Alligator mississippiensis: one gene and its partner. The protein of the gene in region 1 purifies or fractionates together with the protein of each later gene. This does not show direct contact. Links are inferred from orthologs where the notes say so. Each region holds a gene or a part of one and is shown on either strand. Other genes may lie near its edges.

What was found.
Region 2: the proteins of CTTNBP2 (region 1) and STK26 purify together in Homo sapiens (affinity purification with mass spectrometry; 4 studies listed by BioGRID and IntAct, with this or other methods). This does not show direct contact. The link is inferred for Alligator mississippiensis from reciprocal best matches to the Homo sapiens genes CTTNBP2 and STK26.

Annotation. Positions count from the first base shown.
Region 1 is NC_081827.1:48,423,978-48,427,888, forward strand, and holds the start of CTTNBP2 (cortactin-binding protein 2), read left to right. Parts: upstream 1-811; 5' UTR 812-919; coding exon 920-982; intron 983-3,911. UniProt on the Homo sapiens protein: Regulates the dendritic spine distribution of CTTN/cortactin in hippocampal neurons, and thus controls dendritic spinogenesis and dendritic spine maintenance.
Region 2 is NC_081831.1:81,457,664-81,461,574, reverse strand, and holds the start of STK26 (serine/threonine-protein kinase 26), read left to right. Parts: upstream 1-1,278; 5' UTR 1,279-1,293; coding exon 1,294-1,296; exon of another isoform or gene 1,297-1,842; coding exon 1,843-1,932; exon of another isoform or gene 1,933-2,912; intron 2,913-3,911. UniProt on the Homo sapiens protein: Serine/threonine-protein kinase that acts as a mediator of cell growth. Modulates apoptosis. In association with STK24 negatively regulates Golgi reorientation in polarized cell migration upon RHO activation.

The DNA of each region.
Region 1 (3,911 bases):
TAATAGGATTTACTATATTACATGTACAATTAAAAGACAGTCCTCATGAACATTACAAAATAAAACTTTGCTTTTTGTGCTTTCGGTTTCTGTGATTCAGAACGGCGTTCCTGTTGTTTTGTTCTGGATTTCATTTTGGCACCCTGGATGACCACCTAGTTTGCCTCACGGCTGGCCTGGCCCTGCTCCCAGTGATGGCAAAGGCAACCCACCTGGTCTTCCCAGGTGGGGGCACCTGTGCCGCAGGGCTCCTTCCCGCAGCCACATCAGATACTCAGAGGTTTGGAGCGGATGGAGAAGGCGGAGATGCTGCTGGGTTTTTTTAAAGGACTTACATGCATCCTCATCCAGCGCTTCTCAACCCTGTGAGACGCCTGTGGTGCCAAGGCCCAGCCCAGCCCCGCAGCCACGTGTCAGCCGCCCCTGCCTAGGCAGGGCAGGGCAGGGCCCGCATCCAGGCGCCTTTTGATCCCTTAGGTGCCGGCTCCTCGTGAGAGCCGAGGCACCCCCATGACTGGCGCATCCTCTGAAAAGCCCGGCTCTTGGGGGGGTCGGACTGCGGAGAAACAATAGAGGCGCTGCCCCGCGGCAGGGCCCGGCCCGGCAGCTCCGCGGGGCTGCGGATTCCTGTCGGAAACCCCTGGCTCGAGCCGCGAGCGCTGCGGCAGCCCGGGGGCGAGGGCGGCTCCCCGGCCCCCGCGCCCGGCAAACCCCGCGGGGCCCCGCAGCTCACGGCGGCGCGGGCAGGCGGCCGCTGGGGAGCCCCGGGCTGCCACCGGCCCCGCCCGCCTGCCAGCCCCGCCCCGTCCCACCCGGCCCCGCCCGCGCCCGCCGGCAGCGACGGGGTTAAGCGCCGGGCTGCGGCGGCGGCGGCGGCGGCTGCCACTCGGCTCCGCGCCGGGGCCGTTACAGCGGGAAGATGGCGACGGAGGGAGCGAGCGCCGAGCCCGGCTCTGGCGGCCAGGAGGACGCGGAAGCAGCGGTAACCGAGGCCGGGGCCGGGGCCGGGGCCGGGCAGGGGGGACGCGGGGCTGAGCTGGGGGCTTCGCCCGCCCCATTGTTCTGTGCGGGCGGGGGGGGTGAGTGCGGGCCCCGCGGCTGCCCCGCACGACGCTGCCGGCCCGGGGCCGCTTCTCGTGCTGCTGCTCCTGCCCCGCGCCCCGGCACCTCAGGCGAGCCGGGACTTCCCTCGCTGCAGGGAGCCCCCTGCCCGCTTGCATTTATTTTCTTGTGACGGGCTCCCGTCAGCTCTGAGGGGGCAGTGGTTGTTTTTTTTACAAAAACACATCCACGTCCAGGCAGGTTTGCACAGACGTCCCTTCAGTCGTGCAGCCCTGAATCCTCTCCCGGCAAGCGAATGTAGGCGAGGATGTACCTGGCCATATTTTTTCCCTGTCTAAACTAACAAAAATCTTGGGGGCAAAAATAAAATAAAATAATTTAGGGATATGCTCTGGGAATTTTTTTTGCTCTAGGGATACACGGGTTTAGGTGGATGGAATCAAAAGGTTGGGAATGCGAGGACGGCTGTGTCGAGGTACTCGGAGTATATTTTCCAGAATAGGGAGCAAAACTAAAGCCAGTTAGTTAGGCCCATAAATGAGCCTAACTTCAGGCAACCTTTTCTTTAAGAACCAGGGCTTTGCATCCTGCCGACTTGCCAAAGATCCCTCCAGTATTTCAACCCCTTGTCCTTATTCTTCCTTTTTAGTATTCCTTTAATAATAATAATAATAATAACTGTTACAGATTTGGGGTTCTTTCTCCCTCTGAAAGAATGAAAAGAGACTATTGCTTATTTTAAAAGGAATCAATGCAGTTTTATGATGCATGGAAAAACCAGCCATTGGATTGTTTTGGGGCTATTGCCAGGCACCAGCTTAATTTATAGCCTAAAGCTCAGTGAAATTTCCAGTGGAGGATTTTAAAATTCAAGTGGACGCTTCTTAGTTGTTGGGATTGTTAACGGCTAGAGGGTGCAACGAACACTGTCTTGGACATAGAGTCAGTTGATACACAGTTGTCTTCTGCTACAATATTAAGTCAACAGTTTGGTCTAACAGTGGTATTGTCAGGGCATGATGATAAATGCTGTTTTCCTGGCATCTTAGTACAGCATCAGTAATACTTCGGGGGGGGATCTTTTGGCTGTTGCTTGGCTGCTCCTGAAAATGTAATGAAATAGGACTTTCACAAATGGTCTTGCTATTTACTGTCGCTAAGGAATTTATAACTGAAAAAGAGTAGAATATTCTTTCGTGTGCTGTACTTGGGAGGAAGCCAACATTCTTGTCATTCTGAGCTTTCTTGGTTCAAGTACAGCAGTTATGCCAAAAAAGAGAGATCCCACCAAAAAAACTTGGTATACTGTGTTACCATGGTAATAATGATAGGAGAAACTGGAGGAGACTAGCTCTGATGCCGCTGTCGCACCTGTGCAGCCCTTCCTGATTTGTACCAAAGCCAGTGGAATTTCATCAGCATGAGGCCAGTGTAATTTGCGGTAGGTTGGGGTGGGGAATGGGAAGTACTGTGCATTGACCTCCACCTGCATGATATCAACTAACAATGATTATATAATAGCAAGAAATGATCCAACATGTCAGTCTCTTTGTTGATATATGGGGGCAGCAGCCTGTGATGCAAAGAAAGCTGCGTTGACAGATGTGGTAGCCTAGGAGAGTATATAAAGAGGATGCTGTAAAAAGCTCCACTCTTTCTAACTGCTTTGTCTATGGTAAAATTAATTAGTGAAGGACTGCTCTGTTGTGTTTGTTTGTTTTTTTTTTGTTCAATGTGTATCTGATATCTGGAAATGGTAGCCAGCATTTTGTATCTTTTGAATTGCTTTTTGAAACTGTGCAAAAGATATCTAAGACTTAGTCTTGGTCTCTGAAGTCAGTGGGAATTTTGCCTTTGACAGCACTGAAACCATGATTTCACCCAGGGATGGGCAACAAATGGCCATGAGCCAGATCTGGTCAGTGGAGCCACTGGATCTTGTCCACAAAGTCTTAGAGCTTTGCCTATGCCTGCATCTGTGTGCTGAAGCTAAGCAAGGAAGAACTGCATGGGGGCTGGGCAACTTTCAGCTGCAGCCTGCCACTACTTCTCCTCTTCCCTCACCACCCCCATCCCATCTGAATGGCTTAAGCATCCCTCCTGCTCAGCGTATTCTTAAGCATCTATCTCTCCCTGTGCATTGTACTGGGCAATGCATGCTAACTTTGGCATGTGAAATCTATTTTGGGCACTGGTGCCTGAAATTGAGGAATGACAACATTCAGAACCACCAGTCCTAAGTCCCTTTGTAAATTTGTTCAGTGCTTCGAAACTGATACCAAAATCTCCTCCTTGGTTTCTGCCTAAAGCCTAACCCACCATAGTGGCAGGTGCTATCCTCTAAGGATATGCCTCTATTAGTGCTATATTACAAAAAAATAGTGTTTTAATGTTAATCTTTGCATTGTTACTGAATTTATTGATGGGAGGGTTGGAACTTAGATGGTTTTATAAAGTTTTTGGGCCACAATTTATAAGGAAGGTAAAGGTATGAAAAAACTACCACTAAAAGGGTTAAGGACAATAAAAAGGCATTCTTTAAATGTGTTGGGAACGAACTAAAACTAAGTGATTTTATGTGTTTGCTACTGGAGAAGAATGTTAACACTTAGTTACCAAGAGGAAGAAGTATATTTAAATATACACTTTTAAATAGGCAGGGATGTATAACTTGCACACGAGAGTATTAAAAGAATTGGCTGGTGAGCTCTCTGAGCTATTAAAGATCTAAAATTTCCAGATCAAACTGGAGAAATGCCAAGAATGATGGGATTGGGTCAGTTATGCAGGTTGACATGGATCACTAAGGTTTTCAGTTGGAAAAACGTTAATATGGAGACAAAGGCAAG
Region 2 (3,911 bases), on another chromosome or scaffold:
TCTTTAAGGGGTCTTGGGTAACAGCCCACCCTGTGAAAATGTTTGCAGGGTTTTAAAAGCCCAGGGCTCCAGGTTAGTCACCTGGAACGTAGAAAGCCAGTCCCCTGTTGAGCACAGAACAAGTCCCTTTAGTGAAACGAACATAAAGCTAGAAACACTCTTGTCAGTGAGTTGAAGAGGTCAGTTGTTAGTTCGTGACTAAATACACAGAAGAGAACAGGTCTGATGAGGAAGAAGACATCCATCCTTAAGCGACTGGGGTTTTTTCAGAGTGGAAAAGCATACTTCAGTCTGTTTTGCCAGCAGGCTCCCCTCCTTATCATCACCTGCTGGGTGCGGAAACAATTCTTTTGTTTTCCCCACTGATCTCCCAAAAAATGTTGAGTCCTGTAGGGTTGTTGGTTGCAGCCGTGTTGATCTAAGGACGCAGGCAGACAAGGGTCTTTGGGTAGATGTGATATCTTTTATTAGACCAACTAAATAACGAGGAAAATGTGTTCTTTGCAAGAAGGGTGTTTGTGCCCAAAAGCTTGCAAGGTGCTCCCAGGGGTGTAGGTTGTAGCCGTGTTGGTCTAAGGACACAGGTAGACAAGGATCTTCGGGTAAATCTGATATCTTTTATTAGATCAACTCAAAAAAAGCGCAAAGCGTTCCTATGCACTTAAGTAATCATGGGCTTGATAGGCAGATGAGTGATGTTTGTTGCAGTATAAGTGCTAGGCAACAGATCAGGACCAGTCTCCTGTTATGCAGTTGAGAGGAGGAGGATGTGTTTATCTGATAGGCATGTAAAAGGATTATATTGTATGCAGGAGTCTCCTCATCTCTTTATGGCCTGTGTGGGGTCACTGAAGAGGTAACAGATTTCTCAGCCATGTTCTCCCGGTTGAAATCTCATGTCCCTCCTTTAAGGAACCGTTGCCTTCCTGAGCAGTGCCGTCCACGCTCCGCCAGCACAGAAACGGCTTTCTCAGCCTGTTTTCAACAGGTAGGGATAGCCCGGATTTGCCAGGCAGCCCTTGGAGTTCTGCCCATACTTTTTGTGAGCGCCGTTGCCATGATACAGAACGTAGAGCAGATGTTTATTTCAACAGAGATGTCTTTAATTCCTTCTCAACGTTTTTCTCAGGCTGCCATCGTGTGCGAATACTTCTCTGTAGGAGCCAACTGCAGCCCGGGCCCAAGAGCAGAGCCTGATTCAGAAGGAAACGGAGGGTTGGAGGTGTGTAGAGGAGAGGTCAAGACAGACAGCCAAGCCTGCTGGAAGTTTCTGAGCGCCCACGTTTGGTAGGGATGGTAAGGAGCTGAGGGAGCCTCGACCAAAATGTTTTCTGGAAAACTAGCGGCATTATAGCGGTTAATGAAAAGCAATCCCCCTTCCACTCTACTTGGGCTTCAATTTTTTTTTTCTTCCCTTCCTTCCCCCCTCCTATACCTTTCTTTCCTTAACGCAAATAATCCAGCCCTTTTCTGTGTGGTCCATTACCTGGAAGTAACCCTGTGTAACAGGCTGTGATAGGCCAGAAATGCCTTAATTGTACTGACAGCAATAGAGACAGGATGCTAAAAATGTAGGGGTAGGCGTTGCACTTTCCTCCGCCCTTCGTGGGGTACTTACTCCTGTCAGGGACTGTCAAGAGCTCTCATTCCTAGGTGCATGGTTTCCCTTTGTCTTTGTTCCCTTTCTTTTCTCTCCTTAGTGCTCCTAGTTTTCTCCCTGCTTTCTTCTTCCTTCTCTTCTCTCATTTTTCATCTCTATTTTTAACTGCTGCTGCCTCCCTCCGGGCTCATCTGCCCTTTTTTCCCCTCTAGGCTCTTATCTGCCTTGTCTTCTTCCTGCAGGAGTGGATCAGCGTTCCTACCCGCTGGATCGCAGGCAGACAACCATCTCTCGGAGAAAAGCACTGTTACACTGCTGCTCTGCTTCTGCATGTGGGTATGGGTTGGTATGTGGGAGAAATCCCACTTGGAAGTGGTGCCTTCCTGGAATGGGTGCTTTTTTAGCATAGGAATTCTGCTTCGAGCCAGCTTCCTGTTGCTGCTGCCTTATATAGAAATGTTTTATCATTCTATAAATACAGTATGTGTTTTATTAAAAAAGAAGACAGAAATGGATATGCAGGAACAAAATGCTGGAGGAATAACGGTGAGTGGCAGGGCCTCTCGCAGACTTCCTCCACCCCTTCCACTGCTGTGGTCAAGCTATTTTTGTATTCCACGAAAGAGCGCTCTGCTGAAACTTCAGGTTCCTTCTTAAAAGGAAATTGGAAGAGGGGAAGGGTCTGTTTTAAAACTAGAAAATAAAGTTGTAAGCAGGAATGAGACTATAACAATTTTAAGCTGAGAACCTCAAATCTCTAGATTTCCCATCTCTAAATTCCCATTGGATTGCATAGTACAGGTTTGGGCCTAAATTAACTAAGATTCCCAGTGAAGGATATCCTGTAAATACTGCCTTCAGTTTACAGCTGGGCATGCAATAGCTCAGAAAGGATAAGTGAATTGGCCAAGGCCATACAACAAATTAGTGGGAGAGCCAGGCACAGAAACCTGGAGCCCTGGCTTCCAATACTGTGTGTAACATCCTGTGTGCACAACCACTGCAGAAGGGAACTTAATGCAAAAAAGAAGAAAAAGACTTCTTGCGAAAAAAAAAAAAGGCCCTTGTTAATTTGGTAGCTCTTTTATTAAACCTCTACTGCATGTCACAAAAATGTTGGGATCTATCAGCTATGTTGTTAATGTAGTTTGGCACGGATTATACCGTGGACATGGGTGTCAGGAAAGGGCAATTCTGCATGCCTATGCTGAGAAACCCCATTTTGTTGTTGTGGCGCAACCTATCCATTTGTTTCCTGAAGTTTGAAGCTGAATCCTTGATGTCCTGCACTATTTGTTTGATTCGAGTTAAACTGCAATTCAAAGAAAGACGTTAGTGCATATCTACAACCAGCCTACTGAAATCATCTAGCATTAATTAAGCTTTTGTTAATGTGCTGTACCCAGAGTGGGTGTGTATTGTTGTTCCAGTCACACTCAGAGCATTCCCTCCCTACCAAGGCTGTTCAGAACATGAGACACAGATATTAATAAGATGCCTTTGGGCAGTGGCTTTATCTAGTTTCTGACCTTTTTGTAATGAATTTAATCTACAGAAGATTAGCTTAAGACAGATACTGTATTAAAATACATAATTCATGGCAGTACGGATACTCTTGTGATGAAGGTGAATAGTACTGGGTAAGTATACCATTGAACTTCTGGTCTGGTAATTCTCTTTGTCACAGGTTTAGTCACCGTACTGAATCACCCCAGTCTTTTCCCTCTCCACCTTCTTTATCTGTAATATAGCATGCCTGAATAAGGTCAATACACAGCTTTTTTCCTGCTAAAAAGACAGTCGTTTGTGACAAAGAAAACCTCTCAGGAAAAGAAAACTGAGAATTTGGCACAAGCTTATTTGCTGGAGCGGGTATAAATGCCTGTTTGTTTTATTATAGGCAGAGCTACCTAAAGCAACTTGACATCTCTTGTTTTAAACCCTGTTTTCAGTTGCCTATATCTTTGCCAAATTTGAAGCATTTGGGTTGAAATTATCCATTGTGGGTATCTGCCTCGAGCTGATATATATTTTTTATTTATTTAAGTTTCAGCTAAAATGGCTCAGCTGTTGCTCAGAGCGAGGCTGGGAGAAAAAAAAAAGAAGTTGTATTGCAATTGTTAGAAAACCACATCTTTTATAGGCATTCTATTGAGAAACTCTTACCCTTCACCTTCCCCTCCCTGGCTATGGTTTGGAGCAGGGATGTGAAATTTAGGAGACATCTCCCTGGTGTCAGAAGCATGCCTTTTGCTGTCTTTATGAAACCTGCCCTGATTAGCACCAACCAGACCTTGGAAAATCATAGCTC